3 linked regions of the Drosophila melanogaster genome follow. The protein of the gene in region 2 interacts with the protein of the main gene of each other region in a pairwise test. Each region holds a gene or a part of one and is shown on either strand. Other genes may lie near its edges.

Region 1 (10,942 bases), on a different chromosome or scaffold from region 2:
GGGACCGCTGGAGTTGCTCATATCCTCCTACTTCCTATACCAACAGATTGGAGTAGCTTCGCTGTACGGAATCGTGATCCTACTTCTATTCCTGCCAATCCAAACATTTCTCAGCCGACTGACTTCGAGACTGAGACACCAAACAGCGCTTAGAACTGATCAGCGGGTTAGGATGATGAACGAGATTATATCAGGTATTCAGGTGATCAAGATGTATACCTGGGAGAAGCCATTCGGGAGGCTGATCGAGAGACTGAGGCGCAGTGAAATGAGCTCCATTAGGAAGGTGAACTACATCCGGGGCACTCTGCTGTCCTTCGAGATTACCCTGAGTAGAATCGCAATATTCGTAAGTCTTCTGGGATTCGTCCTGATGGGCGGAGAGTTGACGGCGGAGAGGGCTTTCTCAGTTACCGCTTTCTATAATATCCTGCGACGCACGGTGTGCAAATTCTTCCCGAGCGGCATGTCGCAATTTGCAGAGATGATGGTAACCCTGCGCAGAATTAAAGGATTCATGATGAGAAGTGAGACTGAAGCTTTGTACCTTAAAGGTGGACAAACAAATAAGCTTTTCGAAGGGGAGCCCCTTGTGAAATTGCAATCCTTTCAAGCCCGTTGGAATCATGATCACGTGGAACCCGTTTTGGAAAACATTAACATCAGCTTAAGTCCACCGCAACTGGTGGCTGTCATTGGACCCGTTGGTTCTGGGAAATCCAGCCTCATACAAGCCATCTTAGGAGAACTTCCTGGTGAGTCGGGAAAGCTAAAGGTCCAGGGAGATATCTCGTATGCCTCTCAGGAACCCTGGCTATTCAATGCTTCCGTTAGGGATAATATCCTTTTCGGTCTACCCATGGATAAGCACCGATATCGTAATGTCATAAGAAATTGTGCTTTGGAAAGAGATTTCGAACTGCTCCACGGCGATCGCACTTTTGTGGGTGAAAGAGGAGCTTCCCTATCCGGAGGTCAGAGAGCGAGGATCAGTTTGGCAAGAGCTGTTTATCGCCAGGCGGATACATACCTTCTCGACGATCCTTTGAGTGCTGTGGACACCCATGTGGGACGCCATTTATTCGAGGAGTGCATGCGTGGCTTTCTCAGGGATAAGCTGGTGATTCTGGTGACCCATCAACTGCAATTTCTGGAACATGCCGATCTCATAGTGATTATGGACAAGGGAAAAATATCGGCTGTTGGCACCTATGAGGAAATGCTTAAAAGTGGCCAGGACTTTGGGAAACTTTTGGCCACGGAGGCTCAGGAAATGGGCGATTCTAATCAGGAACAAGTTAATGCAGAAGGCGATTCCAGAAATGATAAGTCGACCTACTCCCGGCAAAGTAGTCGTGTAAGCAGAGTCAGTGTAACTTCGGTGGATTCCTCTACGGAGTCTATACTGGACAATGAAAGACAACCTGCTCAGGAGTCGCGATCCCAAGGGAAAATTGGATTGGGCATATATGGGAAATACTTTTCCGCCGGCTCTGGATGGCTAATGGTCATCCTGGTTGCCTTCTTCTGTCTGGGCACTCAAATTTTGGCTTCTGGAGGTGACTACTTCCTTTCCTACTGGTAAGTATGCTTAATTGAACTATGTTGTTCACAATTAATAAATCTTCGTTCACAGGGTTAAAAACAACGACTCCTCTTCATCTACGGACATTTACATCTTCAGTGGAATCAATGCAGCCCTAGTAATCTTTGCTCTGCTTCGAACCCTGCTCTTCTTCAGCATGGCGATGCACTCGTCCACCCAGTTACACAATACCATGTTCCAAGGAGTCTCCCGCACCGCTCTGTACTTCTTCCATGCGAATCCATCGGGCAGAATCCTCAATCGATTTGCCATGGACTTGGGGCAAGTGGATGAAATCCTGCCCGCAGTGATGCTCGATTGCATACAGATATTTCTTACAATCAGTGGAATTATAGGAGTTCTGTGCATCACAAATCCGTGGTATTTGATAAATACCATCACGATGTTCTTGGCTTTTCATTTTCTTCGCACATTCTACTTGAGCACTTCGAGGGACTTGAAAAGATTGGAAGCCATAGCCAGATCCCCTATGTATTCCCATTTTAGTGCCACTTTAAATGGCCTATCCACCATCAGAGCTATGGAAGCTCAGGACTTACTCACCAAGGAATACGATAACTACCAGGATATCCACAGTTCCGGCTACTATACATTCCTGTCCACAAATCGAGCCTTTGGTTACTATCTGGATCTGTTTTGCGTGGCCTACGTCATATCGGTAACCCTAATGAGCTATTTTAACCCCCCCGTGGATAATCCTGGTCAAATCGGTTTAGTTATTACCCAGGCTATGTCCATGACGGGGACTGTTCAGTGGGGAATGAGGCAATCCGCTGAGCTGGAGAACTCCATGACTTCTGTGGAAAGAGTGCTAGAATATAGGCACCTGGAAGCAGAGGGAGAATTCGAGTCCCCAGACGACAAGAAACCACCGATGAATTGGCCACAAGAGGGTCTGATCAGTGCGGAACAACTAAGTCTAAGGTACAACCCCGATCCCAAGGCAGATAGAGTCCTCAAGTCACTGAATTTCATTATCATGCCACGCGAAAAGATTGGCATCGTGGGCAGAACTGGTGCCGGAAAGTCCTCCCTTATAAATGCCCTCTTTAGGCTGTCCTACAACGAAGGATCCTTGGTGATAGACAACACCGATATTCTTGGAATTGGGCTTCATGATCTGCGCAGCAAGATCTCTATAATTCCCCAGGAACCTGTGCTATTTTCCGGCACCCTGCGCTGCAATTTGGATCCCTTTGAACAGTATGCTGATGAAAAATTGTGGGAGGCCTTAGAAGAGGTGAGTAATTACCAAACCTGACAATCATAACTATAATTAAACCATTTTCCCTCGCCAGGTGCACCTCAAAGATGAGGTATCCGAGCTGCCGAATGGCCTGGAAAGTGTGGTTGCCGAGGGCGGATCCAACTACAGTGTAGGTCAGAGGCAGTTGGTCTGCTTGGCCAGGGCGATTCTCCGCGAGAACCGCATCCTTGTGATGGACGAGGCTACCGCAAATGTAGATCCCCAAACAGACGCCCTCATACAATCCACCATTCGCAGGAAGTTCAGAGATTGCACAGTTCTGACCATAGCTCACAGGTTGAACACGATCATCGATTCGGACAGGGTCATGGTTCTGGACGCTGGTACTCTAGTGGAGTTCGGATCACCATTCGAACTACTGACCCAATCGTGGAGCAAAGTCTTTTACGGGATGGTGCTCCAGACGGGTCGGTCGAGTTTCGAGCACCTTCTGAAGCTGGCACTTGAGGTCAGTAGATGAATATTTATTAATTTTGTTTTGTTGGTAATGCTTTCTTTGCAGGCCCACGAAAGAAGACTGCTATCTCAATGATTAGAGCGTATATAATTCAAATATATTCCATTTTCCATTTTTTTTGTTTCTTAAAAGCCGATTGCGATTAATGAGAAATACAATTTTTTGATTACAATGTTGTTATTACAGTATTGTGGTATACAAACAAGAGAGAATGCTATAGTCGAGTTCCCCGAAATAAATCCCAAGGTGCATCCCATAAAACTACCTTATGTAATAGACGGAGGATGACATAGGCCACCTCCTCCACATAGTCGAGTCTATAAAGACCAAAATGTTAGTTGTTGGCTCAACGCATGTTGGCTCGGATTCAAGGAACTGCTAGGACGCGGGGAGTCTCAGGTCCATTACTTTACAAGTAACTTACTCGGGCGGATTTCGCGCACCTTGCTTAATCGGGTTGATGTACTTGAGAGACCCATTGCTGTTGCCACCCAACACCTTGTCGTTGACAGATCTGCAAAATAACAATAGATTTTTACTCTTTGCCCAATGGCAACCCGTTGTATGTCACATGCTCAACTCGCTTGTCAAGTAACATCGATATGCAAAGGGATCCCCATTACCTGTGGACCTCCAGATAGAGTCCGTTAATGTTCATGGACGACTCGGGATCCATCCTGTTTTGAAGATAACGCACTCGCTGTTCCCATTTTTATCGTAACAATATTTACCGAAAAATCACAATTAAAATTTATGTCAGTCTACATAAAGAATTATATATCAGTGAACTAAAATGGGAGACCTGCCAAAAGTTTGAAGTTTTGAGGCTGTCAACTTTTTCAGTGCTATAGTGATTGAACAACGCTCCAGTAGCCAATCCTTTGTTAAAAATATAAAAAAAAATAGAACCCTGTGGAAAGATAACGATATCCGTTGTTCCCCAAAAGCAAATATGTATATCCAAAGATGAACATACATTTGTTTTAAGCGTTTATTAACTCAGCTTTACTTTAGCTATACTTAAGCTACTTACCCATCAGATTAAAAACAAGAGAGAATGCTATAGTCGAGTTCCCTCGCACAGCTGGAAGTGTGAACGAGAAATTTCAATATTTTTTGGAATATTGGTAGAAATTGGAAACAAAATAATAAAATAAAAATTTAAATGTTGCTGAGAATGTGGGCGTGACAGGTTTACGCGGCTTGTGGGCGTAAAGTATTTTGGCATATAAATTTACAAAACTAACATAAAAATCAAAAAATAGTAAAACATTTTTCAAAAGTTTGGGCATGACAATTTCGGGCTGTTTATGGGCGTTAGATTGGAAATCGGTTCTACAAAATTGCGCTACGTCTATGTCTCTAGAACCACTGTTCTTAATCTCAACCTTCTAGCTTTTATAGTTCCTGGGATCTCGACGTTCATACTAGATCGACTGATCCTGATCAAGAATATATATATATGTAGTTGGTCGGAAACGCTTCCTTCTGCTTATTACTTACTTTTCAACGAATCTAGTATACGAATATCGGGTATAAAATTTATTTTAAATATCTTTGTTAAATTTTATGAGCTGTTGATAACGAAATCGAAAAGTTTGTACTTTTTTTTAAATCAAGTGCATTAAAATTAAATTTGTGGCTTAAAATGTATTGTAATAGCTTATAACTTATTATGCTGTAGCATACGAAAAATGGTTCTTAAAATCCTAACTTGCATGAGTTGAATATTTCGAAATTTCAAATGTTCCCGGCTACTTAGTTGTAAAGTGTGGCCGTTTCTCCTACATCGAAATCGATAGGTTCGAAATGTAAACAAACATGGAAACTGAAACTGAAGCGCAGAAATTGTATTAGCTATGGCCAAAAATGTAAAGAAATTAACGTTGGCCAACAAGTTGGCAAAACGCGGAGATCTTATAAAACCCACGGAAATAAAAAGTCGTCCAAATAGGGCGGATAACGTGAGGGTAGGCGGAAATGCATGATAAACAATGAAATTGATACTCAAGACGCAGTTTCTAAATCTTCCAGGATATAGAGGATCTGGTTGGTGTATCTGCTGGCGCAGCAGGATCGAGTAGCTCAGTGTTCTTCTCCCCCGTGCAAACCCGCAAGCAGCGTCTCTTAAATGGGGAAGCCGTGAAGAAAACTAACATTAAAATGGAGCCCTTGTCTCCAGCTCGAGTGGCACCCAAAAAGTTTAGAAAGGATGATCGCATGGTAACCAGAGTTCAAATGGGTTCGGCTACTGTGGTCATATGCAAGGTGGTCCCTGATGCTGTGGACTCCCCAGTGAGAGTGGATAAGATAAGAGAGGAGGTGGAACCCCAAATAAAACAGGAAGCTCCGGAGGATTCCCCTTCTTTTTCTGAGGTGCAAGCACCACATCCTTTGTGGTTTAACCACCTAGAAAACATTCGCATTATGAGAAACTCCAGAACTGCGCCAGTGGACACCATGGGATGCCACCGATGCGCCGATTTAAAAGCAGACTCGAAGGTATTTCCAATAAGTGGAATTAAGTACATAGAAGAATATGTTACAAGCAAACAACTTCCTTGCAGACCCAGCGCTTCCAAAACTTAGTGGCATTGATGCTGTCCAGTCAAACCAAAGACCAAACTACTTATGAAGCCATGAATCGCCTTAAAGACCGAGGTCTAACTCCACTGAAAGTAAAGGAAATGCCAGTGACTGAACTCGAGAATTTACTGCATCCCGTATCCTTCTACAAGGTTTGGTGGAATTAATAATAAATAAATATATCGCACTTACTCTCGATCTCTTCCAGAACAAAGCTAAATACCTCAAGCAAACCGTGGAGATACTGACGGACAAGTATGGTTCGGACATTCCAGATAATGTCAAGGACCTTGTAGCTCTTCCAGGAGTTGGCCCCAAGATGGCCCATATATGCATGGCAGTGGCCTGGAACAAGATAACCGGAATCGGAGTGGACGTCCACGTCCACCGCCTTTCTAACAGGCTGGGCTGGGTGCCGAAGCCCACCAAGGAGCCCGAGCAAACCCGTGTGGCGTTGGAGAAGTGGCTGCCATTCAGCCTCTGGTCAGAGGTCAATCATTTGTTCGTGGGATTCGGACAAACCATTTGCACCCCAGTGAAGCCAAATTGTGGGGAGTGCCTGAACAAGGACATTTGTCCTTCAGCCCATGCTGAAACTAAAGAAAAAAGGAAGAAAGACCGATAGGAAAGAGGTTCAGCGAACGCTGAAAAAGGTTTTAGGTTTCTAAGTGTTTCTGAAATTATTAGTGCTAAGAAAAATATTGTGTTACCCATAAGAAAATAAATGAATTATTAAGGGGGCTGTAAGTCCTGTAAAAAATAAAAAATTTTGTGGTTTTTCTTTTTTTGTTTTAACTGAAAAAGGTATATTCCCAATTTATTACAATAATTCAGTTTTTCAGGAAAAATATTGAAATATTGACACTACAATATTTCGTATTTCTTATATACTAAATAGATGTTATTCCTACGTGTTCGACCTACGGCCACACTATCAGCTCTACGTTCGCGCGTTTTATTGTTTACCAGCGGCCCTTGTGAAATTATATAGAATACTCAATTACAAATCCCTCAAAAGCCAAGAAAATGAATGATTCATGTAAGTATAGCCCGTAGCTCAGAGAAATTAAGGGAACTAATAACGAAGCTCGTTTTAGTTGGAGATTTCAATGCCACACAAACTGCGCCAACTGGAGCCGCCAGCAATCAAAAGGGAGAAGTAAGTGAGTGAGACGCCAGTAAAGTTGCACAACCTAACATGATTCCGTATGATTGCAACTAGGGAATAGTGCCCCTGGTGGTGAAGCAGATTGTGGACGCCCCAGAGGGAAACATCGAGTTGTTCGGCATGCAGTACGCCATGGCATGTGTTGTGGCCATAGTGCGGAACGTGGAGACTTCCTCGACGAAGATCACCTACACCCTGGAGGATCATAGCGGCAGGATCGATGCGCACTACTGGCTTGAGGAGGGCGACGCTCTCAAGGCACCCGAAGTAATGGTCAACAACTACGTGAAGGTCTACGGCACCACCCGGTCGCAAGGCGGTTCCAAAACCCTAATGATCTTCAAGCTACTGCCCGTTTTGGATCCCAACGAGGTGTGCACCCACCTGCTGGAAGTACTCAATGCCCGCTACAGGGCCGAGGACTACCAGAGCAAGGGTGGAGCTGGAGCTGGTGCAGGGGCTTCTTCCGGCTCAGGCTCCATAGCTGATTTCACCGCCTCCCAGAGCTCGGCCATTGTCAGTGGGCTGGAGCCCAAGCAGCAGGCCGTATTCCAGGCCATCAAGAGCAATGTTTCCGAGGAGGGCATCTCCCGCAAGGAACTGAAAGCCAAATTCTCCCACATCAGCGACTCTGAGTTGACGTAAGTTGTTTATCCAAAACTATTGCATCATTTGATATTCTTTATTAATTAATATTAATTATAACATTTTATTGTTCCTATTTTTACAGCAACATTCTGGACTTTATGATTTCCGAGGGACACATTTATTCCAGCATTGACGCAGATCACTTTATTTGCACAATGTAAATCAAATCGTGTAACCACTATTTAATTTAAAAATGCGTATTGAATATATGTATTAAGTTTTTGAAAAACGGGAACATTTTCCATATATTAGTTGTACATTAAATATTTCTTATATAATCAGAAAGTGATTTTGGGATATTTTTTATTGGGACTGTTGAAAATGTGTATTTGAGGAAATCTTGCTCTTCAAGTTGCCGGTGTATGTGTATATTTACGGCTTATCATATGAAAAGTCTTCGGATTCATAGTCCTAAGGGAATTTAAAATATCTTACAAAAAAGATAGAAAACCTGAAATATTTTAATTATTTTATGTTTAATTAATATTCTTGTTCATTTATAAAATTGTAATGGATTATAAAGTTTTTTTGAATCGTTTCACTTTGCTTCATTTGATAAAAGGATGTGATAAGTTCATACCGCTTTATTTCATTATCAATTTATTTTTTAGATATATAACTAACTAACTTTTAACGCTAGTAAGTTAATTGTTTAATTAGGTAATGCATATTTTGATTGTATATCGGGCATAGTTAGATCGGATTGCAAAAAATTTATAAAATTCATTCAATGCGTTTTATTTCATTAGTTTTTGAATTTATCATAGAAAATTACAAGCTCAGGAATCAAAATCAAAACATAATAGGCATGCAAATCAAAAATTAAGATTAATATTTGTTGTGGGAATTTATAGCGCAAGAGAGCATTCCCCTTGGTCCCCAGGATCTTGCCAGTGAAGTTGAACTGCGCAAGTGTAAGGATTCATTTTGCGGTCGGAGTGGATAGCTAATTGTATAAAAAACCACCTTGGGATACTGATTAACGGGCACGAAGACCTTTTGGGTAATCTTTATCGGCTTCTGCTTGTACACGTCTGCGTATAACTCCTTGCCGGGAATACGTCCAGTGCCATAGACACGGTCCACAGCTGCAATGTGGGATTAATACCATTAAAATACCCTGTAAAGGGCCGAATTGATTTTACCCTCGGCAATTAGCAGTGCGCAAAGTGGAAACTCCGCGGACAATCACTGGCTCTCCTCGACCAAATCGGCGAGAAACTTTTGGGTCACCTCGTTCAGACGCGGCTGGTGGTCGTGGGAAGGTGGCTGTTTCAAAGGTAACGCGCTTGCTGTTCCCATTTTTATCGTAACAATATTTACCGAAAAATCACAATTGAAATTGATGTAGACTGAATAAAGAATTATATATCAGTGACTTAAAAAGGGAGACCTGCCAAAAGTTTGAAGTTTTGAGGCTGCCAACTTTTTCAGTGCTATAGTGATTGAACAACGGTCCAGTCGCCAATCCTTAGTTAAAAATATAAAAAATAGAACCCCGTGGAAAGATAACCATATCCGTAGTTGTTCCCCAAAAGCAAATATGTATATCCAAAGATGAACATACATACATTTGTTTTAAGCGTTTATTAACTCAGCCTTACTTTAGACATTTACAGTCATACTTAAGCTACATCAGATTAAAAACAAGAGATAATGCTATAGTCTATGTTCCCCGACTATCAGGTAACCGTTACTCAGCTAGTGTGAATGCAAACGCGGAAGTTTCATAATTTTTCTGGGATATCGGTAGATATTGGGTAATAAAATAAATAAAAAAAATTGTTCTAAAGTGTGGACGTGCAAGGTTTGGCGACTTTAGGGCGTTAGAGTGGGCGTGGCAAAAAGTTTTTTGCAAATCGATAGACATTTATAAGACTAATACCATTATGAAAAAATACCGAAAAACGGTTCAAAAACGTGAAACGTTGTGGGCGTTAGAGTGTGCGTGGGACATGGATCAACAAACTGCGCTGCCTGTATGTCCCTAGAATCTTTGTTTCTAATCTCAACTTTTTAACTTTTAAAGTTCCTGGCTTCTCAACGTTCAAACGGACGGACAGACAGACGGACATGGCCAGATCGACTCGACTATTGATCCTGATCAAGAATGTATATACTTAATATGCGCGGAAACGCTTCCTTGTGCCTGTTACATGAATATAGTATGAATATTTTTGGAGGTTATAATAACATGTATACTCATTTAAATAAAATAAAAAAGTTTGTAGAAGCTCGAATAATTTACATACATTCTGGCACTCTCCGTAACAGTGGCGCCCTCTTGCTCGCCAGCTGTTCAATCTCACCACAGCCCAGCTCAGCGACTCTCAGCTGCTTAAAGTCACCACAAGTCAGAATCTCGCTCCTCAGCTCCGTTCTGTTTTCATTCCGCTTTTAATTCCGTCGCCTGCCGGCTCGGCTCGGTATTATCAATGAATTAAGTTTAATTTACCTCTGCTCAGTTTAATATAAGTACAGAATCGAACAAAGACCTTGGGAAAATGGAGAACAAAAATAAGAAGTGCCTGCGAACCCTGCTACTGCTGGCCCTCTTTTTGGGACTTTTGGGTAAGTAATGCCAATATTTGCGATTAGTTGGGTAAATGGGTTTTGATCAAGTTGAATGAACTCTTTGTGGTAGGTAGCGTTTGGCGATAAACAACAACATTGACAGTGCCACACCTCCGCCTACGCACACAAACAAAAGGCCGAAAGAGAACTTTTATCTGACACACTTTCCAATTGAAGCAGCTGTTTTTACAGTGGGGCAAGTAACAGTATTGAAGGTCAAGGAAATGTGACCTGCACAGGTGTTTCGTTTTGTTTCTGTAAAGTTAGACAAAAACGTGCAGTTACCCGACCCTGAATTGTTAAAAACCGAAACATAGATAAACATCATCATATTTGTTCCCAAAGATCCCCGGATTTAAACACATCCACATCGACCTTTGCTATCTATCACCCCATCCCTCCTTCAGATTATCACTCCCTCGTACACGTTGCTTCCACTATTTGCCTTATCGCTGCCCACTGTGCAGGGCCACTTGTTGATAACCTCGACCCAGGCTTAGTAAACGACGAAAATACATATCAGCATGTAGCGCTGCTTCTGGGTGAAAGTTATAACAATTCGTTTGACTAATGACGTGTTCTACTATTTCTTTTCGGCCACATTTCTGTAGAGGATGGAAAAACGGCCCTAATAGC
Region 2 (10,999 bases):
TTTGTGCGCGACAAGCTTCAGAAGTTCCAGTCCAAGATGCTGACCGACTTCGAGCAGCGGCTGTCCTGCATGGTAGAGGATGTGCTGCAGGATCTGCGACAGCGCGAGTTGCGTGCCCACGAGTTCCCCAACTTCGAGAGATCCGATCGGAAGAGCACCTGGCACAATCGCGTGACCAGTCAAGCGCCAGCAGACGTCAGCGACTCCACAAATGGCCATGCAAATGGCACGCATCCAAGGCCACCGATCCAAAGCGAAACATCCGCTCGTAAGCAGCGACGACAACTGCCCGAAAAAGTGTTCGTTGCCCGGGAATCGTACCTCACCGCTCTGCTGCAGGTGGAGCACATGCGCACCATCTACCACATCTTTTATATTATTCTGGTCATGTTCCTGCTGAACGTGATCTGCTACGATTACTTTGTTGATGGCCGCTTCGATCTGGGACTTGGCACCTTCCGCGGCGGACTGCGCCGCCTCCACTGGGTGATGGGCGTTTGGCTGCTGGAGCATGTCTTCGTCCTGGCGCTCTATTTCGCCTTCCGCGGATGGGCCTTGGTCAGGCACAAACTGAAACCGCACAGTAAGTGGGTTGATCCAATTATCATAAAATTATAATATTAATTTATGGTCACTATATAAAGGATTGTAATGATAATTTATGGAATCATATCTGCTTTATTAAAAATGCAGGTAGAGTTAAAAGCTCATAACATAGCCTTTTGTTGAGGCACTTGACCAGCAAATTGTGACGACATCGCCTTTAACAAAGGAAATTCACTTACCAGTTACTCATCTCGGTTGAATTGTACAACGTTTACTTGCGCGTTTGCTCTGATTGTTAAAAAAAAGCATTTCCCATAAAAGTAAAGTAACTTAAGAGAAGATAAGTGCAGGAATATAGAAATGCTATTAATAAAAGGACGTAATTTCTTTGAACTATTTTCTAATCCTGCAGGTTCTCTCCAGCGCTTTTGGTCGCACAGCTGTCTCATCCTGTACATCAGCTCCCAGCTGGTCTTCTGTTTCGTGTCGACTTCGCTGTGCCTCAAGTTCAACCTGCCCTTTGTGAGTGCGTGTATCCTGTTGCTCGAGAGCACGCGACTGCTGATGAAGATGCACGCCTTTGTGAGGTACAATGCTGAGCGCGTTCTGAATGGCAAGGCCAAGAAGGAAGATGCGGAGGAGGAGAAAGAAGGCAGTGAGCGACCCTTTGTGCCGCCGCTGAGCTGTTACACGTACTTTTTGTTTGCACCCACGCTTATCTACCGAGACAGCTACCCGCGCACCTCCCACATCCGCTGGAAGTTTGCCCTGAATCGACTGTTGGAGGTGGTGGCCATAGCCTTCCTGTACGCGTTCATCCATGAGCGGCACATCCACGAGCACTTCGGACAGTACGGACTGGAACCAATGGGACCCTCCCAGCTGATCCTCAAGCTGTTCGGCATGATGCTGCCCAGCGCGGTGATCTTTCTGTGCGGCTTCTACCTAATCCTGCACTCGTGGCTGAACTTCACGTCGGAGCTGCTACGCTTCGGTGATCGAATGTTCTACAAGGACTGGTGGACGTCGCACACTTACGATGGCTACTACAGAAACTGGAATGTCGTCGTGCACGACTGGCTGTACGAGTACGTGTACAAGGATATGTACACTCATGTGTTCCGAGGTTCCAAGGTGGCCGCCTCGCTGGCAGTGTTCATGATCTCCGCTGTGGTCCATGAGCAGGTTCTCGGCTTTGCCCTGCAAATGTTCTTCCCAGTGATGTTCTTCTTCTTTGGGGTCGTGGGTGTTGCCTTGGTATTCCTAATGCGGAGTGCTCCAAAAGTGATGGGCAACATCTTTCTGTGGTTCTCTCTGATCCTGGGAAATGCCACGCTGATCTCACTATACGCCATGGAGCATTACGCCCTAAAGAACTGCAACCTAAGCAACGAGAGTTGGACGTATCGCCTGCTGCCGGCGGTATGGCGCTGCTACAATTAGTCAATTAGTTAAACACTACTTTTAAACTGTCTGTACACAGGGCGTACGCTTCGATTTGTATTTTAGGTAAATAAACTTAATGAAATTAACAGAAACGATGTCTTCAGTTCGTTTCGTGTCTTTGAACTTCCCAGCTGAACCCTAAAGCTATGGTTTCTTATTTTACATCAGGCTGCCTGATGCTAACTTATGAAATACTACGTGAGCATTGACGAGTGCGTCCTTGGAAGAGCATTCCTCGGCGGCATGGCATCCTCCGCCTAACCGCAGAGATTCGCGATGGCCTGAGCCGCATTAGCGGCTGCCACCTGTGGAGCGTCCTCTGCCGGAATGCGTTTGCGTCGGAATAGAATCACATGCGGCTCCGGCGCGTGGACCATGTAGTGCACCCAGCCGGGGCTCTGCTGCACGCCCAGGTTGCGCCACTCCGTCTCGGTCATCAGATGAGCCTTCGGCACATGTTTGGCCAAATCCGGTGGCAAGATAACATGCCTGCAGGGAGGGAAAGTGGTTTGTGTGTAAACAAACAGTTCACGGATGCTGAAACGCAAGTTGAACGTACCTGTATTCAAAGTTGTCGTCGAAGTACTTCTCTGAGTATTGAATTTGATCGGCCGGCATTGCGAAAAGCCAGAAAACCTGAGGTAAATTAAGCAATTTTACCAAAATAGGTCAATAAATTCAGATAGATATGCCACAACTGATTCGATTCTAAATACTATTGTTATCGCTGCACGTATCGAACATAAAGTTATCGATTTGGTTATCAGCTGTCCAGTTAACAGCACCTTTGGCGGTAAACTCAAATGTACTGTTTTTAATGGCACGATCTTAGCGGGCTTTAATATATTGAACATAAACTTTTTTCTGTATAACAATATTTTTGCAATGTTTAAAGCCATTTTAAAGCCATTTTGTTAAAAAAACGAGTACTTTGTAAAAAGATGCTGTTAGAAAATGTTAACATATTTAGCGAATGAAAAACTCAATTGGATAATATGTGATTTCCAGTGTGACCGGAACTCGCAGGCTCGCACATTTTCCAAATGCAATCGGCAATTTCTCCGTTACTCGCCCATGGCCACATTTGTGCATGTGCGTTTGAGGTTCCTTTCCTTTTTATATAAGCCCCTCGTCTCTTGCCAACAAACCAACAACAACAACAACCAGCCAGGCCAGCGGGCAACAACAACGCACAACAACGCGTATAAATAAACGTGAACGCATGTACTTAATATTAGCATAGAGTTGTCGCCTGCGTGCATTTCATATACATAACATAACATCCACTTACTCCCATGACAACGGGACTTTAGACAGTAACGGTGGAGCAGCTAGAAGAAGAGGAAAGGCGAAGTAGAACGGGAACAAGAAGAAAAAGCAGTGGAAGAGGTGAGGACGATACGTAAATACAGTCAAACTTCCATAAGTAGATACGACTTTACTACTACAATAAAAAGTGTCCTTTAGTGATGAAGAAAATGGGTTCTAAGAACCTAAAACCTTTATGTATATGTACTCCCTATTGTCGCTTAATGAATTTACCGTTACGGTATGCTAGTAAATAAATGCATACAATGTACATATGTAGATACATAGGCACAGCAAAACCACCTATAAATTCGATTGATTTTATGAAGTTCTAGTTGAGGAAGTTTGACTGTATGTATGCGCGCATTGGTAAATACGAGCAGACCGCAATTAGCAAATATTTTTCAGTCCAGCAGGTATCACTCACCACGTACCGCCCAAAGGTCCCAATGCTGGCGTAGAGAAGCCGAAACACCTGCTGCTGCCAGTGGAAAAGCGGGAGGAGCTGCTCCAAACTGCCCAGGTGACATCCAATCATTTAGAGGCGACGCACCTGCCGCCTTGAGGAACTGGTCGCCACGCAGGAGGACACGGATACGGCAACGGTTACGGACTCGTTTCCGCAGTAGCGGGCACCATGAACGCCAGCCTCATCTATGAGATACTTATGTATCTGAACTCGTTCTACTTTGGCATGTACGCCGCCTTCGAAGTGGGCGTGGGCGTTCTTAAGGCGATTAATCTAAACTACGGCGAGAACGCGTTGTCCCGGGAGGCCAGCATCCTGCTCTCACTGTGCATCATCGAGACCGTGCGCATTGTCTTCGGGCGGAAGAGCAGTCTAAGCGATCGTGGTGAGTAATCCCCATGATCCCCATGTTACTGCAAGGGTGGGAAAAGTCCACCGGCAGCGATGATGACATGGCGAAATTATTTGTTTGCCCGGTCACAATGCCCATTTCATGCCATCCCCCTACCTCCGGGGCCATAACCCATAAACGTTTGGACGGGCATACATACATATATGTATGATGTAGCCCACTCGGCGTATGCGTAATTATGGTCATCACCCCGGATGAAAACACGCGTTTTATGGTGGCAGGGGAAAGGCGCCCTTCTGGCACATTAAGCAATATGCAAAGGAAATCTATCAAAGCGAATCATCGAAATGAGTTATTGGAAAAGCAATTGGAGCTGTTAATATTAATTATCGCAATGTGTAAACATGAAATTATTAGTATAATACTTTAAAACACTGAATCACTTTCAATCGAATACACTTAATTATAAACAAGTAGACGAACTATACGATTTTCCGTGCATCTGTAGCTAACATTTTCCTTGTTTTTCTCTCTTTGCAGGCTGGCAAGCAACCGCATCCGTAATATTAACACTGCCCAGTCTTGCTATTGTTATCTACTTGTGTTGTTTTCAAACCTTTGTTCTCAAACTCGAAATTATTCTGAGTGCCTTAATGATCACCCTACAAGGTGCTGAACTAGTCTACGCCAGCATATTCATTTGTACAATGTGTCGCCCCGTCACATACACCTAGCAGTTGATAAGCCGCGTTGCCGCCGCCACGTCAACGACCAAGATCGAGATCAAGACCAAGCCAGCACTAACACTCCCACCTGGAGGAGAAGGAGTAGAAGCATCCACAGCCGAGCGACGACTACGACGAAGACGAAACACTTTCCTCTGGCAATTTCACATCAAACGATTCGCCAAGGCCTCAAAACTAAGCCACTTAAATGCACACTAAGCCACCGCACATAAAAACAAAACAAAAAATCTAGATCCTACTAGACCTCCTAGGAATCCGTGCCAAGACAACCCGATAACATACCCAATGGCTGGCAGTTGAGGAGGACTTTCAACAAGGTACGTGAACCTTTATAAACTTATATAATCCGCACAGATCATTCGCGCCCGCGGAAATCACATCGCAGCGAAACACGACGCGTCCGATTCTATCAAAAGCAAAGCTGCATTTAATTTGCATTTCTTGGTTGCATTCTTTTGCCCGGCCTTTGTGGCGTTGCCTCCCTGCTGGCGCAGTTGCTCCTCGGACCCGCTCGGTTCTGGTATTTTTATACGGCTCTGATGGTCTAAAATTATATGCGAACTGCACGGCTCGTGCAACACCGCTGCTGTCCCCTAGGTGCAATGTACACTTCTAATTTGAATGTAATATACACGGCCCACTGCGGGCAAGTTAGCCTGACTGTAATGGCCAAGATGAGAGGGCTCTCCGTTTGGTCTTTGGTCTAGTGAACATGCCCTGTACGATTCACAGGAGAGAGATTCACGGGACTTTAGCGAGGCATAACGCTTTGAGTTTTTAAAAATAATTAAAATTCCAACAATGGTTTTCATATATTCACCCTAAACCTATCCTGAATTTCAAGGTAACCATTTAATGGCCCTGGGCCCTGTAGAGCATAACGCCCAGGGAGTTTTTAGTAGTTTTTTCCCCCCAACTAGCCGCCAGTGAAATCATTCTCCCCCACATTTCTAGGCAGGCGATCTGCCGGCCAATGCTGACCCAAACAGCGAGCAGAGAAAACAAATAAAAGGCGACAACGACCAGCAGCACATTATTCAAATAAACAGCACATTTCGCAGCGACAAACCGTGAGACCGCCGATGTCGATGCCGCTGCCGCTGCATTGGCCAAGCACGGCAGGTTCGCGTTATTATTATGGTCAGTCTATAAATACAGTGCCCAACGTGAGCAACGCCGCCGTGTGAGCGATCCGGGAGATCAAATCGGTCCAATTTGCCGTAGACATCGAGGGGTAACAGGAGAAGCAGCAGAAGGAGGTGCTAAGCCGGCAGAAAGATGCCGCCCAAGCGTCCGCCACCGCTCGTGCCGAAGAAGCCAAATCCCAGCATGAACTACGAGGTGTTGATCTACCTCAACTCGTTCTACTTTGGCATGTTCGCCTGTTGCGAGATGGCCATGGGCCTCCTGAAGGCCATCAATCTCAGCTACACGGGACATACTCTAGCCCTGGACACGGGGGTGATGATTAGCTTCATTGTCTTTGAGACGATCCGATTGATAATGGGGCGCATGAGTTCGCTGGCCGATCGAGGTAGAAGCTCCCGCCTGCTGGCTGGTCTAATTATAGGATATTCTAAAACAATAGAATCATCCTCAATGGCGTTATCAATCGTTTAATCAAACCAAACCATTAGACTTAAGAAATACTAATTAACTCATTATCATCCTTATTTATAATTGTAATAGAATAGTATCTATGGCTTTTACAATCAGATTCTAATGAACTCTTCTGCTTTTCTATCACAGGCTGGTCGGCCATACTGTCGGTCTTCATGACCGCCCCCTGCTTTGTGGGCGTCTCCTATCTACTGCTGCTCCAGACCTACCGACTGCGCCTGGAGTACTGCCTGTGCACGCTGCAGATCGCCCTTTACCTGACCGAGGTGTGGTATGCCATCGTCTTCGTTTTCTCGCTGTGTCGTCCAGTAACTTATGATTAGCCATATAGACAGAAACATCCAACAGCCAACTAGCAGCAAATATACATGCGAAAGTTTAGCAATCTATAAGATCGAAAAAGGATAATATGCGGTGTAAGGAAATTTAATGAATTTGAAAAGCAGTAGGCAGCTGAATTGCTCATGGCCGTGGAGAAGAGAAACCAAACAGAAAGAAAAAAAAAACAAAACAAAACACATATGTAGCATATTAATAATTATGTATAGTAAGGTTTATGATAACATACACACACTCTTATATACATATATTTAACGGTTTTATATACAAAAATTGTTAACATTTAAGCATCAATTGGAACCAATATAAGACAACAAGCAAAACCTAAAACTTGAATAATTTTCACAATTTTAAGATGAAAATTTTTTTGTAAAAAGAAAAATATCGAAAAACAGCCGAAAAACAAATTTGATGTGTGGAAATAATAATTTATAATAGTTCACAGATAGCTCGAATCTTAAAAAGAATTGTAAAAAAATCAGTGGAATGTCTCACAAAATCTAGTCAGCATCAAAATCATGAAAAACAAATGGCCGAAAGGCCATTAAAAAAATTCATTACCACTAAGAGTCAGCGTTTAGTAGTTCATACCAATATTCAAAAGGCGGAGAACAACATAATTAAGCCCAGTTAAAAGTCTAGACCATGTGTGTACTTTAATGAAACTACTTTATATAAACCTAGCAAATAGCGTAAATAACATTTTCAAGACGTCACTAAAAACAATGCAAACCCGAGCGGGCAACCGTTTACTAGAAAGCGAACAACAAATTAGCTAAATCATATAAAACATTTATAGAGTGTTAAAAACTAGGCGAAAACCCTCCATTACACTTCTCCCCAATTCAGCCTATTGGCAACTCGAAACGCCCTTTAAATCACGCTCAATTATCCCCGCCTGATAGGATCCGAGGATTGCAGCTCCTCCAATGCTAGTCACTAATGTTCACAAACATTTTCTAAGCTAGACCGAAGATTGTGTAATAATTTGATAAGACCTTTGTGTGGTTTCATAGCAAAATAACGCACAAATCGATAACAAAAACTCTCAACAGTCCACAAATCTCATGCTTTTAAAACAAAAGAAATAATTTTACTGAAACCAAACAGCTGGAAGCTAGAAGCTGAAAGAAAACCAAAGCCACATCCTACGTTGAATAATTTACCTGTATAATATTTATGTCATTTCGTTAAACGCAAAATGTTAACATACTTTTAAAGCGCGTGTAAAACGGATAGTTAATAAAATAACGACAACAATATTTAAAAGAACATATACACTCGATGAAAATGAATATTAAAGATCGAAAAAAAGAAAAAGGAATCTGTTATTAGTAGGCCGTGGGTTCAATAAGATCTTTTCGAGTATGATAGGTGTATTTCGTTTTGTGCCTCCAAAATTTCAGATATTATTCAGCTACACACAGACAGGCCTCCCAAATTTGTAAGCTCTGTAAATTCAAAACCAGAACTGCTGCAGGCCAGTGGCGAAGTTAATTTGTCAGAGGAAAACTCAAGCCATCTCCATGGATAAAAACCACAAGTCGGGTGAGTCAAGCCGAGTGTGGCATCCTTAAGTTGTTAAAACTATGTGTGTTCTTTGCTCCAGAAGAGGGGTTTGGACGTTCAATGTCTAGTAGCAGTCGCCGCGTCATGTGGAAGCTCAACGAGGAGGAGGAGACATTCGACTCCTTGGTCAATTATCGGCGGCTTCCTTCGCGCAGCCTAAACCGAAGTCAGGTGACCGATGTGCCCACCAAGGGACACACTACCTCCGAAAATTGCCAGCTGCCAGCGCAAGAGTTGGAAACAAAGAGCGCCACCAACGAACAAGGTGCATTGGGCATAATGTCGGTTAGCCTACCGCAAACAACCAGGAATTCCCATCAATCGTCGGCCACGTCACTGCCGGAGGCCAAGGGATGCACTGCCACCGAAAACTGCCAGTTGCTAGCGCAAGAGGCGGAAACAAAGAACGCCAGCAACGAACAAGGTGGATTGGGCAAAATGTCGGTTAGCCTGCCGCAACAAAACTGGAACGCCAATCAATCGTCGGCCACGTCACTGCCGGAGGCCAAGGAGATCAGCTCCAAAGAGCAGGCGATCATCTACTGGCGGCGTCTTTTCGATGGTATCCACAAGCGCCAGCGTGGCGAAAGAAAAGTTGCAGCAATGCAGCCCGAAAATACCACAGATGTCGTGCTGACGTCCAAGCCAAACCTGGCATTGCGCTACAAGCCCTCCCATGAGTCGCTTAAAAACAAGCGGATCAAGGACCTGGCTCCTGAACGATGCCCGAGCACGTCCCGGGGATCAACGTCCTGCAAACTGGTATCGGACCTCAAGATGGAGACGTTCAGCCTGCCGCCGCAGCAGACGTGTGTGGTGCGCGAGGTGGAGCCTCGGTTTGGCCAGCGCCGACGCATGTTGTTGGCCAACGACACGGATTCGTGCTACTCCGGCGAGCTGGAGGTCCCCAAAAACAGTCCCGTCCAGGAGCCAGGACCCTATCCGCGCAGCGAACTGATCAGTGTCCATGTCTCGGCGCCCACCAGCTCCTCTTTTACGGGAGCAACACGGCGGAGTCTGTCTCCAACTAGGCAGCGCACTGCGACGAGCAAGGTGGCCGCCGGGACGAAGGGCGGACCATCACCAGCAGTTGGGGGCAACAAGTGCTCGAGCGTCAGCAGCGGGAGTGCAGGTACCAGCCAGCTGCCTAATTTCCGCCAGCGGCAGCAAGAGCTCCATCGCTATCGCGTTATGATCGAGCAACGGCGCCTCGATCTACTCGAGCTCAAGATAGCCCGCGAACGCGAGGAGGCGCTGCACAGCGAGGTTCTGTTTCACAAGGAACTGCAGATCAAGGAGAACATGATCAAGGTGTACGAGGACAACGACTGCTCCAACGCCTAGGACTTCCTTTATTCCTAACTCTTTCGACCCCAAATTCAGAAAGGTATTTTACACTTGGCAATGGCCCTGGCCTCAGTAGTTCAAAACACTCAGTCAAATAAAACCGAAATTCATTTAGACATCCCAATCTAGGTTTTTTATTAACTACCTGAGAAATAAGTATCAAAACTGCAATATATGAAATTCAACTTAGCGGGTAATTTCAAATCTAATGTGCCCGTTCGTTTACAGCACTGGCAGTGTGTGCGCATCGCTGTGAATGGACATTAGCCCCAAACAACTTTTTATTTCATTTGTTTAAACCGAAAACGTGAAATGTTAATAAATGTGTGCCGAGTTTGCGGCAGGAGCAGGCTGTGCCCCAAAGCCGTGGAGCTCTTCAAACCTGGCAGACAGGATATTCTTCGCCGCATCCAACTAATAACCGGAATTCTCGTGAGTTAAGGAATCAAAATGGATCGCGCAATTTACATATGTGCGAGCGCTTCCTTTTTTGTATTCTGCAGCTTCAGCAGATTCCCAATGCTCCGGATATGGTGTGCTTTTGCTGCCAGACAGATCTGCAATCGGCCATGATTTTCCGGAGGCAGTGCATCCTGCAGCAGAAGAAATGGGTGCCATTGCTACAAAGTGATAAAGTGGGAGCCAGCGAGGAAAAGAAGGTGGAACCCAATGATCCCTCAACCAAGAAGAAAACGACCAAGCGGCGAAGGGGGCGACCCAGGATGCCACTGGAAATTGTAGATATAGTCGTAACGAACGAGAGTAAGGCTTCAGCAGGTGAATCAGTTGGTGGTGATGAATTTGATCAGCCGGTGGAGATCTCCAATGAACCGGATGCCACCGATAGCGATGTTAATCTGGAGGAAATAGATCTTCCGGATGAGGATGGCTTGGAGTCGGATCACGATTTACCCAATGTTCAAATCCACAAGTGCGATACTTGTGGAATTATCAAAAATAATAAATCATCTCTGGTCAGGCATCAGTTTGAACATAATGGAATAAGACCATATCCCTGCAAGTAAGTAAGAATCGCGACGAAAATATACATTTACTGATACTTAAATAGGTCCGTCGTCTTTATCTTTATCTCTTCGTATCTGGTCCATTATCACGATTTGATTAGCATACATTGTGCCTACATACATACATATGTATGTAAATTCTTTTTCTTTGTACAGTATCTGCAATATGTATTTTTCAGGGAGTGCCCAAAGACCTTTCTGGTAGCGAGTGAGCTGAAGGCACACAATCTCA
Region 3 (10,999 bases), on a different chromosome or scaffold from region 2:
GAAAGTGTTTCCTTTGATATAATTCGCCTTGGAGGCTCAAAATCCTGCACTACTTACACCTTTTTGTCCTTCCAGTAGGCATTCTTGAGCGGATGATAGGAGTCGGCGGATGGATCGTAGTTTTCCACATCCTCCTTAGTAGCGGCAGTGGAGTTGAGACCTATGGTTGTGACCTTCTTGTCAGTGGTCTTGTCATCGACTTCCTTTGGTTCCTTCTTAACATTTTTCACCGGACTTGTCTTCTCCTCGGAATCCACAGACATAGGTTCTACCTTGGGCTTAGTTTCCGGGGAGGCACTTTCGCTCTTGATGTGGGGTTCATCTGGGAGTTCGGTCTTCGCATCAATCCTATGATTTGTCGAGGAATTTAGTAATGAAACAAGAAAACAGCGGCACCATTTACTTAGGAACTTTCTTGGGCGGCGAGGGGCTGTCGGTGGCATCGGATTTCTTCTTGAAGAAGGAGCTGAAACGGGGGATTGTTAGATTGGCAATACTTAGCATTTGTTAAATCGTAAATTACGTTATAGACTTTTGCATTTTGTGGCAATTCTGTGTTCAAATAAATACAAATTGCAATGCAATTAGTTCCCGCCAGTTTCTAGAGCTGGTCTTCAGTATCGATATATTGAAATGGAAATGCTATCGAAGTTGAAAATTTTATTAGTAAACATAAATTAAATGTTTATGCTACATAATTGAGAAATATTATTACGTACAATTGTGGCCATTTTTATATGCAAGTCAATCGACTTAATATTTCTCAAACAAATCATTAATAGACAAAAGGAAGAGTTTATTGTCATTCGGTGTGACCGCAGCACAGTCGTTGATAAACACGGGAAAACATCCACGGGGCAGTGTGACCAGAGCGCCGTTAAATTCACAAATAATTGCAATTCGCAATAGCACAGCCAAAACTGAAGATTACATACAATTTACAATGGCCGACGAGAGCATCACGCGAATGAACCTGGCGGCCATCAAGAAGATCGACCCGTACGCCAAGGAGATCGTGGATTCGTCCTCGCACGTCGCCTTCTACACGTTCAACTCGTCGCAGAACGAGTGGGAAAAGACCGATGTGGAGGGAGCCTTCTTCATATACCACCGCAACGCGGAGCCCTTTCACAGCATCTTCATCAACAACCGACTGAACACCACGTCCTTCGTGGAGCCCATCACCGGCAGCCTGGAGCTGCAGTCGCAGCCGCCGTTCCTGCTCTACCGCAACGAGCGCTCGCGCATCCGCGGCTTCTGGTTCTACAACAGCGAGGAGTGCGACCGCATCAGCGGCTTGGTGAACGGGCTGCTCAAGTCCAAGGATCAGGGAACGAATGGCCAGGCCCAGCGTCACGTCTCCGCGCCCCAGCAGCCAAAGCAGGACAGCAGCCAGCCGGCCAGCATATTCAACATGCTGACCAAGGCCCAGAAGGACTACAATGCCCAGGTGAGCGGCGGGCAGCCGAAGACGCCTTCGGCGGAGAACGTAACGGCCGGCAATGTGTTGAAGTTCTTCGAATCGGCCAAGCAGGCCACGGCAGAGTCACTGTTCCACCGCGTCCAGCCGCTCTCCGTGGACCAGCTGGAGAAACAGCAGCGGGCAGCCACGCCTGGCGAGGATCTGTTGCCCCCGGCAGGCAGGGACAATCACGAGAGCCGGCTGTCGCCCTTCCAGAAGATGCAGCAGCTTAACATTCAGCTCCTGAGCGACCTGAAGATCGGTAAAAGCTACGCTACGGCTCAATCTCCGACAGTCGCCCCGTCCTCGTCGGCGCTGATGGCCAACGACGATGCCGGCAAGTGCTTGCGGAGACTGCTGGCTGGCGACAAGCCCGGGCCGGCCCTCATGCCGCCCACCATGTTCGACGCGCCCAACAACGGCAATCCGGAGCCACAGCAGCCACAGCAGCCACAGCAGCCACTGCTGAACTCGACGCAGTTCGTCCAGGCCTTCACGTACCTTATCCAGAACGATAAGGAGTTTGCCAACAAGCTGCACAAGGCCTACCTGAACGGCTGTTCCAATCTACTGCTGGACTCCAGCTCCACATATCAATAAACAGAAATATTCAACATTTCCGAATTGCAGCCCATATTTTCATTTGTTCGCATGGAGTTCGAGTTCAAGCCGAGTTAATTTACAAAATGTAATAGCTGTAAGCCGACAAGGGCAGTCGTAGATTTAAAATCTAGAAGCCCCGCCGGAGAAGGACGGCATCCATTTCCAGAGCAACCTTAAGAGTTAACTAACGTAGTTGGTTTTGTGAAGTATTCGTATTTATTTACAAAATGGTTAACTAGGCCGAAGGGGCGTAGAAAAGGTAGTTGAATGGCAAACAGAATTCAATAAACATTAATTTAGTAACAATAAATAACAACGCTTTTATTTAGGCCAATACCTTCAGCTTGCAGAGCAGGTAGTACAGAAAACAAAACAGCCACAGGCTGAAGTCGACGTGGCTCCTGCCCGCCGCCGCGGACGTGGCCACCGTGGTCAGGTTCTTGCCGTATCCCTCGAAGGACACCACGCACTGGTAGGCATCGGGATCGTCGTCGGTGTCGTAGGCCGCCACCACGGCGCTGCCATCGAAGTATCCCTCCTCGTTCTCGTACACCATGGGCTCCCGCTTCACCACGTCCATGTCGTTGGATCTGTAATAGGAGCGGAGTTGAGTTGGGACGTTGTTTACTACAAGGCTGTCTTACGACAAGGCAGGCGCTCGTCCTTACATTATCGTGATGGTGGGCCTGGGATACACGTTCGTCACGGTGCAGTTCAGCTGCGTCTCATTGTGGATCGTCTTGTGGGACAGCTCCAGGGTGTAGTTCCTCAGGTCTATGACCTGAACCCTCTGGTGGCTGGAGAAGGTGTTCAGCGAGGTCTGCACCACGCACTTGTAGTCGCCGGTGGTGGCGATCGTGGGGTTGATCAAAGCCAGCGAGCTGTACTGCTTGCTCGGCTCCGTGGAGCTCTCATAGGTGCTGTCAATCTCGTTCCTGAACTCGGGCTATCAAGGAGGGGAAAGCGGTTAGTATCTTAAGCGCACCACACCGTTTGGTTCACTCACGATGGCATATGGAGGTGTTCCGAAGATCCACTGGTATATGGACTTGTCGTCTCTGTACCATTTGACGGTGATGAACTTCGGGCTCTCCTCCACCTCGTAGTCGCAGTCCAGGATCGTGGGCTCCATCTCCTCGTTCTGAAGGACTATAATCTTGTCCTCGGACTCATCCCTCGTGGGATAGCATAGCGCATCTGGGGGAGAGCGAATATTACTGATTAGAACGCAGAATTCAGAAACGAAACGAAAAGCTTTTAGCACGACGAGGTCTCGAAATTACAGAACACGCGCGGTATTATTTGGAATATATGTACATATGCAGCACAGGCAAATCCAAAACACATTGTACACAAAAATCTATATAATTTGGCGAAAGCGTATATTTACGAGAAGCGAAAACGCGATGAGCGGATGCCTGTTTCGTTTTAAAAATAGACACTAATAACAAACAAAAGCTAGAAAATTGAACATTTTTCATTCGGCAGTTTGTCATCATGTGTGCCAAAATTCTGAAAACTCTGTTCAATTTTATTAGGTTCCTTTCGCTGGAATCTTTTGCTTTCCACTTAGCATCTATTGCTCCGACTTCAAAACCACTGGCGCTTTTTCCACATTGAAAAACATATAGTTTCGAACACGAATAATTGCACGTAAAATCCTTCAGCCCGTTCAAATCCACAAATTAAAGGATAATCGAATCTGCACATATTGTTTATATATTGTTTATATATTGTTTATATTCCGTTTTAGCACATGTTAACTCAGAACCGAATGTGGATATACGTTCGTATTTATAGATATCCGATTTGTCATTATTTTTCTCAAGGTTTGCGCATTCGAAATTCGTTTATATGCGCCTTCCGAATGATTTCATTTCTTAATTTAAAAATCGCGTTTCCCATATCGGTTGCTGGCTGGATCGCCACAGGATCTGGCTGTACCTCTGTGGAGCAGTCCGATGGCCAGAATGGCGATCAGCAGGGTATCCATAACGGTCACTATCCTATCTACACTTCCACTTCCACTCGTATGCCAGACTTCTCAACCGATCCTAACTCAGCGGTCCGCTCGGCATGGTACAACTAAGGCAACTAAATGCTCTTGGCCGCCAGAGAACCGAAAACTGAAAACCGAGAAATGAGGAACGAGAGCTCTTGGCCAAGACCACGCAGCGTAACCAAACGAATTCGAATTTAGCCGAGATAATGCCGGCACTTCCTCTCCGGCACACGATCCTCCTACCCTAACCCTCCTCCTCCTCGCATAGCCCGTGCCACTTGACTTGTGCGCGACTCTCGGAGCACAAGCACGATCTTTGCATGGACATGTGGGGAGATCGCTCCGCAGCTGGCCAGGCACCACCACCAACCAAGTCGCCCTGCATGTGTGGGGGTTGGACACAACCTTTCCGCTTCGATACTCTCCGCTGCTCCTAGCTGCCGTTGACTATTTGAAAACCAGTTGGCCGCCCAGCTGAGGCGCACTCCTACAACTAGGGATAGTCGAGGGTAACATGCAAGACCGTTAAAGGACAGGGGGTGTCGAGCGTAGTCCTTAAGGACCTTTTCTTCTTCTCGACCGAAGTTAAGGGCTGTTGTAACGATTGGCGTTAATAATATGCTGTCTCCATGGCAATAGGGATCATTAACATTCCTGTAATTCTGTTGAAATTCCGATAGAAGGCATTTTTAAGTCGAATTTCTCGAATTTGTTTACAATTGAATAAATCTTAGGGTATTAGCCGTTCAGTTACTCATAGGTTTAAGTATATCCATATGCTTGAGTTTTTGTAAAGACTTAGTTAGTCGTTCCAACTCGGTGATTAGCAAAAGAAAAAGCCTTCACTATACCAAGTTAGTGTGTAAGTGCAACACACACCTATGCATGATAAACCCTTTTTCTTTACTTTATGTTTTCCAAACTAACGTTAGTTGTTTTCAGAATGACTCAATAGAACCTGATACTTGTTCGATGCATGTAGTTCCAGGCTCATTTGCACCCACAACTAGGTTGAAACCTACTTAAACTAGCTTCCCATTTAGATGCTCTATAACTAAATAATATGTTGCTGTTTTTACAGGATTTTCGGGGTGGGTTTGAGATCGGGTTAAGCAAACAATGCAGGTGGGTTTCGTTCAGGTCGATCACCTCCAACATCTGGTTACTATACTATTTATTAAATGTAAAATGAGTTCATATCTTTGCGTTTGATACAATTACAATTGGAAAGGTTATAATTTTACACATATATTGGATATATTTTAACCTAAAATGTAACACAGTAACTTATTCCAAAACTTTCGGAATGTCGTAATGTTGTATTATTATGATTGCCATAACAATTCTCCGATTTACATAGACTTGCGATTTAAGTAATGATTACTACAAAGTAGAGTTTCTTTTTGCACGAGTGTTAGTTTGAGCATGATGTGCATCTATTAGGTGGCTTTGTTTTCCTAGAGACTTAGTCGTTCCAATTCGTTGATTAAGAAAAGAAAAGGCTCACTCTACCATGCAAATGTGTAAAATCCACAAAGGCAACTAAGACCATTTTTCAACTGGAAAAAGAGGCACATTCTAAACTTTTACCTCGTATGTTTGACTAAACTGATCCCAATGAAATTGTTTCCGAAGATAGATACATTGAATTTGGAACTGTTTTTCTTTGAAAATTTAACTAAATGGCTTCAGCACATGGAACAACCAGCCTATCCTATTAGCAATCCAGCATTAGGGTGTCCAAAAAAAAAAGGACTTCAGCGCAGAGTAAATAAAAATTAGGCAGGACTCTGATTAGCAGGAATTAACTAATCGAAATAATCCGCAGAGCAAATAATTGTTTCCGAAAACAGGGGTTGTATCCTGCCAGTGACTTTAAACAATGTTTCAATCAGCCCAATGTTATAAACAAGAAAAGATAGTAAGGTGTCTCTTATCCATTGTGTGCGGTACAACACCATTTGTTTTATCAAGTTGGCGAAGTGCTGTACTCGTGATGACGGACTGTCCGATACCCTTTCCATTTCATATATGAAGTTTAAATATATTTTATAATTTATGTTACTTTGGCTGTTCCTTAAGAGTTATTGCAACGTAAAGAGGATTTTCATTTTTCTTACTTTTTATATTATCCCAGAGAAGCATTTCCTTTAATCGCTCAGACAGGACATCCCAGCGTCATGGTTGCCCGATAAGCCAATTTAATCTTCTGAGTGTTGCTTTTTGAGGCCTGTGAAAATTGGTGCACTCAAAGAAAAGTTCGCTTAAAGATGGAGCTTGGAAAATATTCAGATTTTGAAGAAATATTCATTGAAAAGAAGATTTCTGAGTGAAGATTAGATCAGAGCCAACAGACAGCGATGCAATCAATGAAATTAAAACCAAAACCAATTCTTTAGACATGCTGTGACAAGTCAATTGGGGAAATGCGGTGAATTTTCGCGCAGTGCACGACACGCGCCGGAAAGTCAGATTTCCACCCCTATGTCGAGTGGAGCTCGTTAGGACCGCCTCCAAACGCGGAAACGAATGAAATTTTCCGTCCCGCTCTCCCGAGACAAGTGCAGCATCCTTGTTCGTCCAACGTGGATGTCCTGTAGTTGATACAATCGTAATCGAAGCTTATTTATTCAAGGGCAGTTAAAAGTGTGTGCGGCCGCGGAGCTACTATAACTATGTGTTTTATGGCCGAATGACTCATTAGCGGGCTGTAAAATTTCAATCGAGTGCCGTGTGTGAATTTACCTGCAGATGCGATGGAATTTTCACTGCTCAACAAGGCGAACTTCGACAAGGATTGTTTGTACACCGCGAACTCGGAGTTCTACAACAGCGGCGCCAATGGAGGAGGACTCTCCGTGGCCAATCACATAAATCACTACAACCTCATGATTGACTCCAGTTACAAGCTCTGCGCCAACGAGTCCGCAATCCGGGGTTCCCTCAACCAGGAGTCGAGCTTATTGTTCTCCAAAATCACCACTGTCTCCGAGTTTTACCCGGCCACCCATAACATTGGCTCCTACAACACGGGTAAGTACAGTGGCCATCAGTTCCACCTGCAGCCAGTGCACCTGGATGGATCGATTATGGATTGTAATCTTGAACCAACTCTCACCTCGCCATAGACTTCCATTTGAAGTCCTATGGAGACGACGGCTTGAGCCTGACCGACAAATCAAAACAGAGGCGCATTCGCACCACTTTCACGTCCAACCAGCTGAACGAGCTGGAGAAGATCTTCCTGGAAACCCACTACCCAGATATCTACACCAGGGAAGAGATCGCATCCAAGCTGCACTTGACGGAAGCTCGAGTTCAGGTGAGGAAAACTAATGAGATTGAATTGCTGGTTAAGTGAGTGGGTAGTTTAGGATACACATATTTCAATAATTAACATATAACAAATAATACTTACATAATATAATATAACTATTGAAAAGAACTCGATCTGCTGTTGATAGGTTCAAATATTATAGGTTTCTCGAAGCCAGCTTACAATCGAAACGAATTTAGTCATATCCTGTTGAAGGATACAAAACGACTTAGTAATCGAAATTAAAAAAAAAAAAAACCATTGTGTGTTTTAGGTCTGGTTCCAGAACAGAAGAGCCAAGTTTCGCAAGCAGGAGAGGCATGCCATTTACATAATGAAGGACAAGTCGAGCAAATTGGATGGCCGGAAGAATCCTGTAGCAGGATCGAAATACCTGGGCCCATCTCTCAAGGGACCCCAGAATGGCCATGGCCGTCAAATGAAATGCTTATACGATCAAATATAGAATCCACTAATATCTATGTAAATATTAGTATACATTTTGATGAATGCAGTTATTTTGATATTATTTTTACTGACTATTTGGAGCGAATTGCGTTAAATAAATAAGATCTGTGTAACACTTTGCTTGTTTTCATATCATCCGGGACAACTGGCTTAGCACCCTTTTGAGGGCTCAGCCGGCTAAGCCTGTGGGAAGAAAAACAAGGACTTGAATGGGGGTTGAAGGGTCACCATCTACAAGTACCAAACCTCACGCCCTTCAGGGGTAAATTGTCATCCCATTATCGGGTGGAAAAAGTGGATTGGATCGGCATTAGGGCGTGTAATCAGTTGATGGTGGCGATTCGGTGCGCTCAATATAGCAATTGTTGTGGAGTGCCCACCGCAGGGATTGGCGGTGAATACCTTTCAGATCTAATTAACAAGATCAAGATTGAATTGCAGTTTATTGAAATCATATGTGCCCAGATGTATAACTTAATATTGCAATTTATAAGTAGTGCCCGCCTTTCAACACCCTCGAATGATTTTAATAAACTGTGAAATCGTTGTTCATTTTACATTTTTCTACACTTCATTAGTGAAACGTATATACAGATATTAAATATATACATAAATATACAAATATCATTTAGCCTTTTAACTATATATAAAACGTACTCTTCCGTTTTTTAAATAGTTTTGTTGCAATTTGATTTGATTATTTTATGTGTTTTTTCATTTAGAATAAAAGAATTCAAATTAATTATTTTATTCAAATATTCCAAGGACATTTTCAATTCCATCGTTCCCGGAAAAAGCAACATATTATAAGTCGAAATACCCTCAATGCTTTCGAATACGAAAATACCGCTATCTGCGGTATTAACTGGCGAACGCGCTAGGGATTTTGTTGCTCTTTTGGCCAGCTGCATGTTATTTGTTAATCGGCTGGTTATAACACTTTATGAATTAAAAAAGACAATTGACAATGCTGCGATCGAGGATTTCCTGCGCACTGCCACCCAGGAGACTGGTGTCCTACTTCTCGGCGGAATTCAACAAGGTGGCGCACGAGGGACCGGCTAAATTCGCCGCAGGCAGCAGTCATGCCGTAACGAGTGTGGATTTGGATGTGTTCGTCAATCCGGATAACCGTCCCATGGACCTGGTGGACCGGCTGCTCAAGCTCAGGTGGGTGCGGCCATATTGGAAGTAGTGTCCCTACTCATAAGATAACTCTTGCAGGAAACAGAAGGAGGCCAGTTTGGTGCCGCTGATTCCCAGTGTCTTGGTCAAGCAATTGCTGGACTCCACCAATCCGCAGGAGACGATATCGGTGCTCCGTAATCCCATCCAGTACGGGCTCTTTGTGGACCAGTTCTCTGGCTGCTTCCTGTTGGACTTCCTGCTGCACAATGGCCACGCGGTGGAATCTGCCCAGCTGGCCACTATTCTCGTGGACAGAAACTTATGCAACAACGAGTTGCTGGAGTCCCTGGCCCTACAGTCCTTCTGGTCCTTCGCCAAGGAGTTCAAGCCCTTCGAGTCCTCTCAAGTTCAACCTCCTGCCAAAAATGTTGAAGTGGTAAGATGATTTTCGATAGTGGCTGAATTATCAGCTAAGCGGCTGGAAACTTTATTCACTCATAAATAGCTATTTAAGATTTTGTTCATTTTGGCATTTTACCAAGTTTACTAATCATACCTGAATTTGCTAGGAAAAAGTTCGCGTGAAGTTCATTCGCAATTACCCCGACGACGCCAGCGAAAATACCGAAGAGAAGAAACTGGGTCGCGCCATGGTTCGATTGGGCTCCGGCGAAGGGTCCTTGAAAGAGCTGAAGCAGAACGTTGCCCTACTTGGCTATGTCCTAACCGGACAAGTGCCCGAGGCCTCCAGCTTTCTGGCCTCGAACTCAGCTGCCCTGCACAAGGAGACTCTTTTAGCCGCACAGAGCATAGTTGAAAGCCTCAAGCTGGAGGGATCCGAAGAGCTGCTGAAGTCCCTGCAGGAAGCCGTTGAGAAGAGTAGCAAATCGAATGCCATTCAATCGCTACTGGAGAACAGCGTCAAAGCCAATGTGCAGAAGTTTGAGCCCAAACTGCTGGCCGACTACGGCGAGTCGTATCAGGAGTGGGCCAAGAAGTTTGAGGCAGCGGTGCAGCGACAACTGGATTCGCAGAGCGTGGAGGAGCGTAAGGCCACCATCCAGAAGACCCTCAGCGAACTGGAGGCGAAGCGGCAGAACCTGTGGTTCTTCGAGAACCGGGACGACATCGACATCCAGATCTACAAGAAGAAGGTCTACTATCCCAAGCGCTGGTTCGGCAAAAAGAAGAAGCCCAAGGCAGCAGACACCTTCTATGTGCCGCCGACTATCACGCACAACGGCTAGTGGACAACCCGTGGACCCACGACAACTCCTGGCCACAAACAAGTTAGATCCAATTGTTTTTAAGCTTTAATTAAACTACTGGAGAGTTAATCCAAATTCAAATGTTGTTTCTTTTCTCGAACGTTAAATTGTTTAAAATTACCATAACGTAACATTGAGGGTCACAGTTATATTCATTCCATCTCAGTTTACAACATTTTTTTTATACTTTTTCTTTGGAGTTTCCATAAATTTTTGCATCCTTAAAAGCTAATCGTCTGTCATTTGTGCATGGCCGAGGGCAGAGCAGTTTTTAAAACCCGCTGCCCGGGTGCTGAAGGGGATAGATTGATGGGCGAGGGCATGTCGTGCCTCTTGTCCTGTATGGTCAGGGGCAAGAACTGCTGCTGCTTCTTTTTCCGGTTCATGTTCATGGGATGGGTGTTGTCGTTCTTGCCGAACAGAATGGTCAGGTGGACAGCACAGAAGATTCCCAGGCTCTGTGCGAATTGGTTTTCAATTTATTATTGGTCAACTAACTGAGAGTTGAGAGAGAATCCATTGGGGGGGACTCACCTGGAATATGGCTATGATGGCAGCTCCGAAGGCGGTGATCAGCAGGCGGTTCCTGATCTGCTCCGATACGACGGCCAGGCATCCGCGCTTGTAGTGGGTATCACATGCTGACTCGTAGGCGTGCTCCGGGCGCGAGCAGCAGGACCAGGGCAGCGAAAGTCGGCGGTAATCGAGAGGTCCGTCGACGCCGCAGCATTGCAACTAATGGGTAGGGAACG

What was found.
Region 1: the proteins of Cks85A (region 2) and RPA2 interact in a two-hybrid assay, tested with the Drosophila melanogaster proteins (one large-scale study listed by BioGRID).
Region 3: the proteins of Cks85A (region 2) and PHDP interact in a two-hybrid assay, tested with the Drosophila melanogaster proteins (one large-scale study listed by BioGRID).

Annotation. Positions count from the first base shown.
Region 1 is NT_033779.5:20,922,047-20,932,988, reverse strand, and holds RPA2 (replication protein A2), read left to right. Parts: upstream 1-6,841; 5' UTR 6,842-6,942; coding exon 6,943-6,955; intron 6,956-7,013; coding exon 7,014-7,075; intron 7,076-7,138; coding exon 7,139-7,725; intron 7,726-7,814; coding exon 7,815-7,893; 3' UTR 7,894-8,014; downstream 8,015-10,942. Other genes in the region: CG9270 (uncharacterized protein), read left to right, coding at 1-1,581, 1,637-2,846, 2,905-3,321, 3,376-3,405; Nthl1 (Nth-like DNA glycosylase 1), read left to right, coding at 5,190-5,300, 5,365-5,832, 5,898-6,068, 6,125-6,541; Mtp (microsomal triacylglycerol transfer protein), read left to right, coding at 10,237-10,303, 10,918-10,942.
Region 2 is NT_033777.3:8,713,188-8,724,186, forward strand, and holds Cks85A (Cyclin-dependent kinase subunit 85A), read right to left. Parts: upstream 5,270-10,999; 5' UTR 5,150-5,269; exon of another isoform or gene 4,856-5,149; coding exon of another isoform or gene 4,662-4,855; intron 4,155-4,661; coding exon of another isoform or gene 3,938-4,154; exon of another isoform or gene 3,709-3,937; intron 3,382-3,708; exon of another isoform or gene 3,056-3,381; intron 2,693-3,055; exon of another isoform or gene 2,629-2,692; 5' UTR 2,611-2,628; coding exon 2,552-2,610; intron 2,482-2,551; coding exon 2,250-2,481; 3' UTR 2,013-2,249; downstream 1-2,012. Other genes in the region: CG8112 (uncharacterized protein), read left to right, coding at 1-583, 959-1,989; TMEM216 (transmembrane protein 216), read left to right, coding at 3,938-4,154, 4,662-4,855; CG11760 (uncharacterized protein), read left to right, coding at 6,146-6,401, 6,617-6,810; CG8136 (uncharacterized protein), read left to right, coding at 8,353-8,374, 8,436-9,739; nom (numerous disordered muscles), read left to right, coding at 10,055-10,174, 10,246-10,763, 10,947-10,999.
Region 3 is NT_033778.4:23,880,137-23,891,135, reverse strand, and holds PHDP (putative homeodomain protein), read left to right. Parts: upstream 1-6,695; 5' UTR 6,696-6,823; coding exon 6,824-7,100; intron 7,101-7,195; coding exon 7,196-7,389; intron 7,390-7,657; coding exon 7,658-7,849; 3' UTR 7,850-8,000; downstream 8,001-10,999. Other genes in the region: DNAlig1 (DNA ligase 1), read right to left, coding at 58-348, 404-466, 524-540; DCP1 (decapping protein 1), read left to right, coding at 944-2,062; CG5597 (uncharacterized protein), read right to left, coding at 2,391-2,655, 2,734-3,011, 3,072-3,262, 4,010-4,058; CG4882 (uncharacterized protein), read left to right, coding at 8,819-9,021, 9,076-9,415, 9,549-10,226; TM4SF (transmembrane 4 superfamily), read right to left, coding at 10,487-10,705, 10,782-10,982.